Linked DNA regions of Drosophila melanogaster. The protein of the gene in region 1 interacts with the protein of each later gene in a pairwise test. Each region holds a gene or a part of one and is shown in the gene's direction. Other genes may lie near its edges. The genes, in order: CG10208 and CG7564.

Evidence for each region.
Region 2: the proteins of CG10208 (region 1) and CG7564 interact in a two-hybrid assay, tested with the Drosophila melanogaster proteins (one large-scale study listed by BioGRID).

The regions. Positions count from the first base shown.
Region 1 is NT_033777.3:23,772,498-23,776,013, reverse strand, and holds CG10208 (uncharacterized protein), read left to right. Parts: upstream 1-1,886; 5' UTR 1,887-1,981; coding exon 1,982-2,128; intron 2,129-2,194; coding exon 2,195-2,878; 3' UTR 2,879-3,016; downstream 3,017-3,516. Other genes in the region: Nup98-96 (nucleoporin 98-96kD), read left to right, coding at 1-492, 550-959, 1,024-1,505; tst (twister), read left to right, coding at 3,252-3,516.
Region 2 is NT_037436.4:17,512,444-17,517,812, forward strand, and holds the start of CG7564 (uncharacterized protein), read left to right. Parts: upstream 1-1,854; 5' UTR 1,855-2,024; coding exon 2,025-3,287; 3' UTR 3,288-5,369. Other genes in the region: U4-U6-60K (U4-U6 small nuclear riboprotein factor 60K), read right to left, coding at 1-1,338. UniProt on the Drosophila melanogaster protein: May bind to RNA via its Arg/Ser-rich domain.

The DNA.
Region 1 (3,516 bases):
CTTCAGCTACGATGATGCTAATCTGGCTCTTGTGCTGTCCCAATTAAGTTCCGGAGCTGTCTTCCGGCTATTAATGGAGGAGCAGCTCTTTGCCTGGCAGCAGAGCAAGTCGGATAAGTATATCGATCTGGAGCGCCTTAAGATGTACATGCTGGCCGCCGGAGCGCCAATGATGCAGTCTTCACATGGGGCCATCAACTTACTCGAGAATAAAAACTGGCTGACAGCACTGGCCCTGCAGCTATGGTATTTCACAGCCCCAACATCGTCTATCACCGATGCACTCAATGCTTATAACGACGCCTTCCAAGCGGAAGAGTGCTATGCGGAGCCCCCAAAGCCCAGCTACAGGGACGCACCTACTGACACCAAGAAGCCCGTCTACGATTTGCGCTACCACTTGCTCCAGTTACACTCTAAACGTATGCATTCCCTGGAAGAAACTCTCAATCCTATAACGCATACCGCCGATGCCATGGACTTTCGTTTGAGGTGAGCTAAAAGAATTTTTTGGTACAGTGCAAAATAAATCATATCAAATCATTTTAGCTGGCTGCTCTTGCAAACTCTGCGAGCTCTTGGCTACCGTCACTGTTCGCCCTTAACGGAGGCTCGTCTTTCGGTGGATTTCGCTAGCCAGTTGGAGAACGAAGGCCTCTGGCAGTGGGGTATCTTTGTTCTTTTGCATATTAAGCAGCAGACCCAGAGGGAACGTGCAGTTCAGCAAATGCTACAGAGGAATGTCAGCGTTTCCGCCAAGGTGGCTCTATATGCGGAAGAGCGCTTTATCGTCGAAGAGCTTGGTATTCCGATGTCGTGGGTGGACTATGCGAAGGCGGTAAAGGCGGGAGCGTCAGGAAAGCATCACCTTCAAGCCAAATATCTGCTAAAGGCAAAACATTTTGCTACGGCGCACGATGTCATCTTCCAACACATTGCTCCTGATGCCATCATAAACGGTTGGTTCCTTATGATAAGAATTATTTCGGTGGATTACTAACAATTGTCATTGCAAACTTGCAGGTAAAATGAAATACCTGCATAGCCTGCTCATTCAATTCGAGGATACAGAGGGCAGCAGCATCCGAGTGCCCAACTGGGCCAACCAGGGCCAGATCTTCCTGGACTTTATCGACATCAGTGCCAAGTTCAAACAGATCCGCAGTGTGACCAACATCGCTGACATCAATGCGCGCTGGGAGAACTTAAAACCACAACTAAGCGAACTCTGCTCCCGCATCAGTCTGCTCCCGTGCCCTACCTCCAAGCACCGCCTGTGCCAGAGTGAAATCTCGCAGAGCCTCAGCTGCTTGGTGCACGGCATGTGCATTGTCTGTCCCGAGATGGAGTCTTCCACGGTGCTTAAGGTGGCCCTGGAGCGGCTGCCACTGCCGCAGGAGTTCGCCTCAAAGGAGCTGCGCATCTGGCTGGAGGAGCTACTAGACAAAATCCAAAACGAGCCACCATTTAGCGAGCGGCAGCAACCCACCATGATGGAGATATAGGTGCCGAAACAAACAAAGCTCGAAGATACAATGTTTAGTCTAGGGTCAAATTAACTTAGTTATAATCAATTGATTAGCATCCCCCTCGCAAAAGAAAAAAAAGTCAGCTGTAGCATAGGTTTGAGTACGGCATCATTTATGTATGATTGCTTAATATTTAAAAAACGTTTCGTCGGAAAAGACCAGAAGAATAATAGTTTTTTGTTGATTTGTTTAATTGATTTTCATAAATTTCATAAACTTAGTAGTATAAGAAAGTAAAAAAAAAAAATGTTTCTAACAACGTTCGCTGGCTGGGAATCATTTCAAATCCGATAGAACTGCGCTGTGCCTATCGAAAGCTTTGTTGGGACCTACCTGTTTAGTCCAGTTGTGGAGCGAGATCAGTAGTCATTCGATCGCTAGTTAGACCACAACATATTTACTCTCTGATTAGCTTCTTACCTGCTGCACGAGCGAAAAACGTTTCACTGGCCATGGCTGCTGTTGTTCCCACTGAAACCTCCGCCGCCCCCGCCTCCTGGTGTGGGCGCGGTGCCAAGCCCCGAACCTTTGAAAAGGAACCGCCAGTCATCTGCTATGACAAGCCCGCAGCTTCGATCGTTTCGAAGGAGGAGTATGATGTAAGTAACGCGAACAATAGCAATAATACAATGATAAAATAATCTAATCCGACTCGGAGACTACAGAATAAACGTTATCGTGCCCTGACTGGCGATCTTGTGGAGACACTGATTGTGCCCAAACGGGAGGCACGCACCTGGACAATGCAAGAGGGTGATTTGTGCCGCGTCACTGTCCACGAAGGTTCTCAGGTGGGCGACATGAACTTTTGGAATCTGGAGAACACCGCCGAGCGCTTCTACTCGGGCAAGACGCGCCAGCTGCACTCGTCGCATCTGCGCGTTTACGATCGTCTGTGGAGCTGCCTGCCCCACCTGCGTCCCATGGCCACCTTTGTGTTTGATTCCCTTGCCGCCTATGGCATCGATGAGGATGGCGGTGCTCTGCACGACGTAATTGGAACACGGTGCGACGACTACACCTACAAGCTAATCACGGGCAAGGATCGGGTGGGCAGTTGCCACAGTTCCCTAGTCAAGGCGGTGGTGGAGGAGCGCGGGCTGACCGAGCAGGATGTACACGACGTGTGGAACATCTTTATGTGCACCGGATTTACACGGGACACGCATCAGTATTTCTGCAAGGCAAGTCCAGCGCGCAAGGGGGATTTCATTGAGTTTGTGGCCGACATGAATCTTCTGGTGGCTCTGAGCGCCTGTCCACAGGGCGATGTCTCCATCGCAGTGGGCGCCGATGTGCCGGACGACAAGTGCCACCCCCTCAAGGTCGAAGTGTTCCGTCGCAAGTAAACAGAACCATTTTCATTCCGTGTGCGGAAATCTGGTTCTAACAGCGTGCCATTTATGTAAACAGTGCCATAGAGATGTGCAAGATCATCTTCCGTATTGATGACGAATTATCAATACAAATATATTACTGCAATAATTATTGAGTTTTTGTTTTACTTAATATAAATTTTGGAATAAATTCGTTAAAATTATTTTTAATTAAAAAAATTAAAATATCTTTGCACACTGCACGGGATGCAATTCGTTACGCGATTGTTTCTCGATTTTTAGGGTGACCAGTCCATCCAAATTATCTGCCGACTCTTGTTGATTTTTTCCTTGTATTTTGGCAAATGCTAAACAAAGTTATTTTCGCCAGGAATAAACTATTAAAATGAATGAGATTAGGGGCGAGGATAACCTCGAACGGCTGCGCAACTATATCCTGCGACCGGAGCTGTCCCTCCACAATCCCCTGCCGGATGTTTTGCCCCGCAAATTCGATCCGATGCGCCTGTTGCATGCGCCCCGTTGCCCGGGAAGCACTAAGTTGGCTCCTCGCCGCGACCAGAGTGGTCACATACTTGAGTTCGTGGAATTGGACTTGGAGGCCGTGGGCGCCAATGCCAACAACTCGATGTCCATGCAGCGGGAGCCGG
Region 2 (5,369 bases), on another chromosome or scaffold:
AGAAAAGTCCACGCCGAAAACGGCGCCCAAGTGTCCCTCCAGAAACATGATGCACCGCCCAGTGCGCAGATCCCACACTCGTCCAAAGGCATCCAGACCGCCGGTGACCAGGACACTGCCGTCGGAATGATAGCTAAGGCAGTGAACCGGCTTTGCGTGCCCTTCCTGGTGAAGCACCTCTGTCTTTTGCTCCAGATCCCACAGCCGCCAGCTAGAGTCGTAGCAGGCGGTGGCCAAGAAGCGGCCGGAAGGATGGAAGGCTACCTTAGAGACGCGATGCGGCATGTGGCCGGTGATGTCGGCAATCGACTCTTCGTTGTTGAAGCCCCACAGCTTGACGGCGCCATCGTGGCCACCGGAAGCCATGGCCACCACGTTCTCCTCGTCTGCCTTAACTCCCGGCCGCAGAGCCACTCCGCCCACATAGCTGGCATGTCCACGCAGCGTCTGCTTCAGCTCGCAATCGGGCACGCTCCACAGCTTGCAGAGACCCGACCATGAGGAGGTCAGAAGGAGTGAGGAGTCTTCACTGAAGGCAGCACTACTCACGGGCCGTGTGTCACCCACCTGGGAGCACAGTGGAGCCAGCGACTGGAGCTTCTTCTGCATCTCCACCATTCGGCCGGCACGTGCTGCGCTGGGCACTTCAAGGGCCTCACGTGCTCGTACCAAGCGATCCTTGGCGCGCGGCAGGGAATAATCCGCCAGCCAGAGTCGAGCGATACGCAAACTATCGGGTCCCTCGTGGTACCAGGTGGCCTGATCCTGCTCCCGCTGTTGCTGCTTGCGCTCCTCATCCTCATACTGCCTCTTGTTGATGGCGTTCTCGCCCAATCCAGCCAAGAGTTCCTTAAGACGTCTTCTTCGCTCCGCCGGTCCTTCTCCAAAATAGCAAATGGGTTCGTTTAGCTGGCGCAGATTGCTCTTGATCTCCGTGTCGTCTGTGGACACATTTATCTGTCGTGCTCGCTTTTTCCGCTCAAATTCCTCAAGGAGCGCCACCTTGTCGCGCTCCATTTCCATCTCTAGATCGAAGTAGTCATCGTCAATTTTGTTGGCCAGAGTAGCGGCTGTGGGTGGTGGTGCTCCGGCCTGCTTGGCGTTGCTTGTCTTTTTCGTGGACTCCTCGTAATCCTCATCGGAATCGATGTCTTCCAGTTGCCCGCCTGTTCCAGTTGTTGTTGTTCCTGCCCCAGACGATGCCGTCGTTCCCGATGTTGTTGTTGCTGCTGCCCCAGACGCCGCGGCATTTTGCCGCTTGCGTTCCGATTCCTCGAGCGATCCATAGTGCAGCGTTCGCTGCCGCTTAATGTACTGTATATCGTCGTCATCGGACATCGTTGCGGCCAGCAAACAAGTGCAAAATAATTAATTTTAAAATAAAATTTCGCCGAAACAACGAAGAAACAACAAAAAATATTGCCGTAAAGAAAACGTTTTGCTGCCTAGTGTTGAGCAACGCCGAGAGGGGTGGTTTAGTGATGCCATCACCGATGTTTAGAGCGGTATGCAGCGAATAAGCAATAGTTTTTAGATCGATATTGTTTGTTGTTTATTGTTAAATGAACGGTTTTTGAAACTCTAAATTATATTTAAAACAATAACTATTTAAAACTGAAACTTTATTCCACGTGTTTAATAAAATTTTATATTAAGATCGCGATATACCGTTATTAGAGAGAACTACATTTGTTCTTGGAAATTAAATGATGTGCCTTTGTTTTTTATTTAATCATTTAATCAACAATAATCTATATACTTGGATCTGAACAAAAGCCGTTACTCCCAGAAACCGTGACTTTTCACCGATATATCGCCTACTCGTGCTTCACAGCACTGTTTTTCAGCACTACCCCATTTTAGAACATCCTCACGCACGCACGCACAGAATTTTCTTAGGTGATTAAAAGTGAGTGAAAATTGAGAATTTCCACACGCGTCGCACGCTATTGGTCACAAAGCCAGTGAGATAGCTGTCACTGCCACCGCTGCAGCATTTTTCACGCGCTCCTGGCCAGAAGGATATGAGCGCGCCGAGCAACAAAATGTCGGCCACCGATCAGATGCGAGCAATGCTGGACCAGCTTATGGGTACCACACGGAATGGCGACGAGCGCCAACTGAAATTCTCGGACCCCAGGGTCTGCAAGTCCTTTCTGCTCGACTGCTGTCCGCACGACATCCTGGCGTCCACGCGCATGGATCTCGGTGAGTGTCCCAAAGTGCATGACCTGGCTTTCCGCGCAGATTACGAAAGTGCCGCCAAGACGCGCGACTACTACTACGACATTGAGGCCATGGAACACCTGCAGGCCTTTATTGCCGACTGCGATCGACGCACCGACTCCGCCAAGCAAAGGTTGAAAGAGACCCAGGAAGAGCTGACCGCCGAGGTGGCTGAGAAGGCCAATGCTGTCCATGGCCTCGCCGAGGAGATTGGCAAGAAGTTGGCCAAGGCCGAGGCCCTGGGCGAGGCCGGCGAAGTGGAGGACAGCATGGAGCTGATGAAGGAGATCGAGGAGCTGCGTGCTAAGAAGATCAAGGCCGAGCACGAGTACCGCACATCTATGCCCGCATCCACCTACCAGCAGCAAAAGTTGCGCGTCTGCGAGGTATGCTCCGCCTACCTCGGGATTCACGACAATGACATACGTCTGGCGGACCACTTTGGTGGTAAGTTACATCTCGGATTCCTCACTATCAGAGAAAAGCTGATCGAACTGGAGAAGACGGCGGCGCCGCGGAAGGCGGAGCTCAAGCGGACGGGTAAGATGACGGACCGCGAGGACGAGGGACGCGGACGCAATCGCTACTTTGTAGGTGGTCGTGAACTGGACCGCCGCTCTCGCGTACATCGTTCCCGCTCCAGAGAACGACAGCGCAACCGGGATGGGGACCGCGAACGCCCCAACAACGGACGCGGTCCTGAGGAGAAGGGGAGTGAGCGACCCAAGGAAGCGGCAGATGGTCCGGAGCGAGCCGAAAGGGCACCAGATCGTGGAGGACGGCGAGATGACAGGGACAACCACGGCAGGGATCATCGCGAACGGGAACGCGATGGCAGGCGGGATCGGGACCGACATGGACGCAACGACAGAGGACGCTTTGGTGACAGAGGCGGCGGTGGAGGAGGCGGTGGCCATCACCGTGACGACAGACGCCGCTCAAGGTCCAGGGAACGCTCGCCACGCGAACGGCGGAACTTTAACCACTTCAGGGATGGTGGTGGCGGCGGAAATGGCCAGCGCAAACGATCCTACTCCCGTGAGCGCAACTACCGCCGCTAGGCTAGAATCCCGCCCAGCGCACGTACGTAGCATTAATCACATGAACTATAATGCCACCACAAATTGAACTACTGAAAACAACAGGAACCGAATATTCTTAGCGTAACCAATAAAGCAACCTAGAGCCACACTTTCGACGCTCCAATATGAAGATACAACTACCTTTGTACATTTTTAATAATTTAATTGATTTCTATTTTTGATCTTGCGTTCCAACCTCTAATGACAAATTTTTGTTACTACCCCAAAGTAAACCGAACGCAGTCCAAGACCCCAGCCTCAATAAAAACTTTAAGAGAAACGATATACTCGATATAATGCGATTGAAATTATATAGTCCCCGTCCAGTCCAGTGTACTTGGCACGTAGAGACAGAAACCCAAACAGAAAATAGAAATCCCAACGAATCGGCAGTGTTGTCAATTAAAGTTCAGTTCATTGTAATTCGGTTAGGACACAGCGGCAGTCAAGTTAAAGATAACTAATTTATAAGGATTCAGAGCAGGAGAAACGTTTAATATATGATATTTTGTGTGTTGTATAGCTAGCTACAAGTTGGTAACATTGACTGAAACCCAACCAAACCTGACCACATTCGACCATGTACTCTTCTCAGCTAACGATCACGTTCACCCAGTCGAAGTCAACGTGTGTTGTGCATCGCTGTCGTCCCGCTTTGGGGTAAGCCTCCACCATATTTAACTCTGACACACTCCATCACTGCTCTGATTTGATTTCATTTGATATGATATGATTTGATTTGATTTGTAACCCCAAAGCGTTCTCTACTTGAAGTTCCGTTCCACACTTTCGCAGCCGCTTAAACTCTCGCACAGCTTCGGTACGTATTGAGTATGGCGAGGTGACTATATACATTATACCAGACCAATGTTAGTTGTTTTGGCAGATATGCGTATTACATAGATAATCCAGATAATATAGCTTGGGTACGTATCCATACCGGCCGACGACGTTTCCTTTTGAATCGTCGAATGAGAGTGTCGTTTATTTATTCGGTTCTGGGTACGTATTAATGTTAGAAGATCACGACTGTGGTACGTATACATATAACGACTATAATGGTGCCCCATAAGCAAGCCAGGCTCTCTAGGGTTCTCGGCGATCCAGATCCCAACGTACGTATTTCTCCTCCTCCTTTCTCTCTCTCTTGAAAATAAATAATAAAAAATACAATCACCACAAACCAAAATAAATTTTAATCTCGTAGCTGTTTAGAGGCAATTGAATTAAAATCCGTTTCTTACTAAATCTCTGTTTATCTTGCCAAATGGTACTTGAACCACTGTAATGATGAACTCCAATTAAGAACACAAGTCCGTTTTAAGTTGAAGGCAGCCGTCGGGCTGACATATATTTATTCAATTTCTTCTTTTGATTTTAGAGTAGGCAGAAATGGTTCTGTCAGCTCAACGTCTACAGAGTCTCTCTGATTTTACAGTTTTTTATATATTTTGACTTAGGCTAATCCGCGTAGCTGCGCTGCCGGGTACGCCAGCAGCGGAGCGGCGTTCTTATGTATATCTTATATATCTAGGCTTATCGGGAGAGCGAGATATGTATGTACGTATGTAATATGTATTTGGTCGGCGTGTGAATGCTGACCATGCACTTATACTTTTTGCCTTCGAGTGGGTGATCATGTTACATCTGCCCTGGCCTAACTGCGTGCATAAACATAAACATAAACATAGCAACAAAGTGCTGCCATAAGTTAATATGCTATTTTATTTAATTGTTCTTAATATTGCATAGGCACATACTACATCTCCCTCCTTTTGAAAAATAACGTAACCTAGTGAAGTTATTTTGATTATTAAATGCAAATTATTTTATTTTTATTTTTATTTTGTTTGTGTTTTTGTTTGAACAACAATAGTTGATTTTATAATGCAAAGATAAAAATATACGTAGTGTATGGAAAATTTGTATAAATGATTAAGGAAAATATAAGTTTAAATTCAATCATGAATGAAATTTCTTTAATCTATCTTTATGAACTATTTGTTTTTTGTTTTTATTAGTAAGTAGCGTAATATTGTTATTATCTCCTATGCTTTCTAT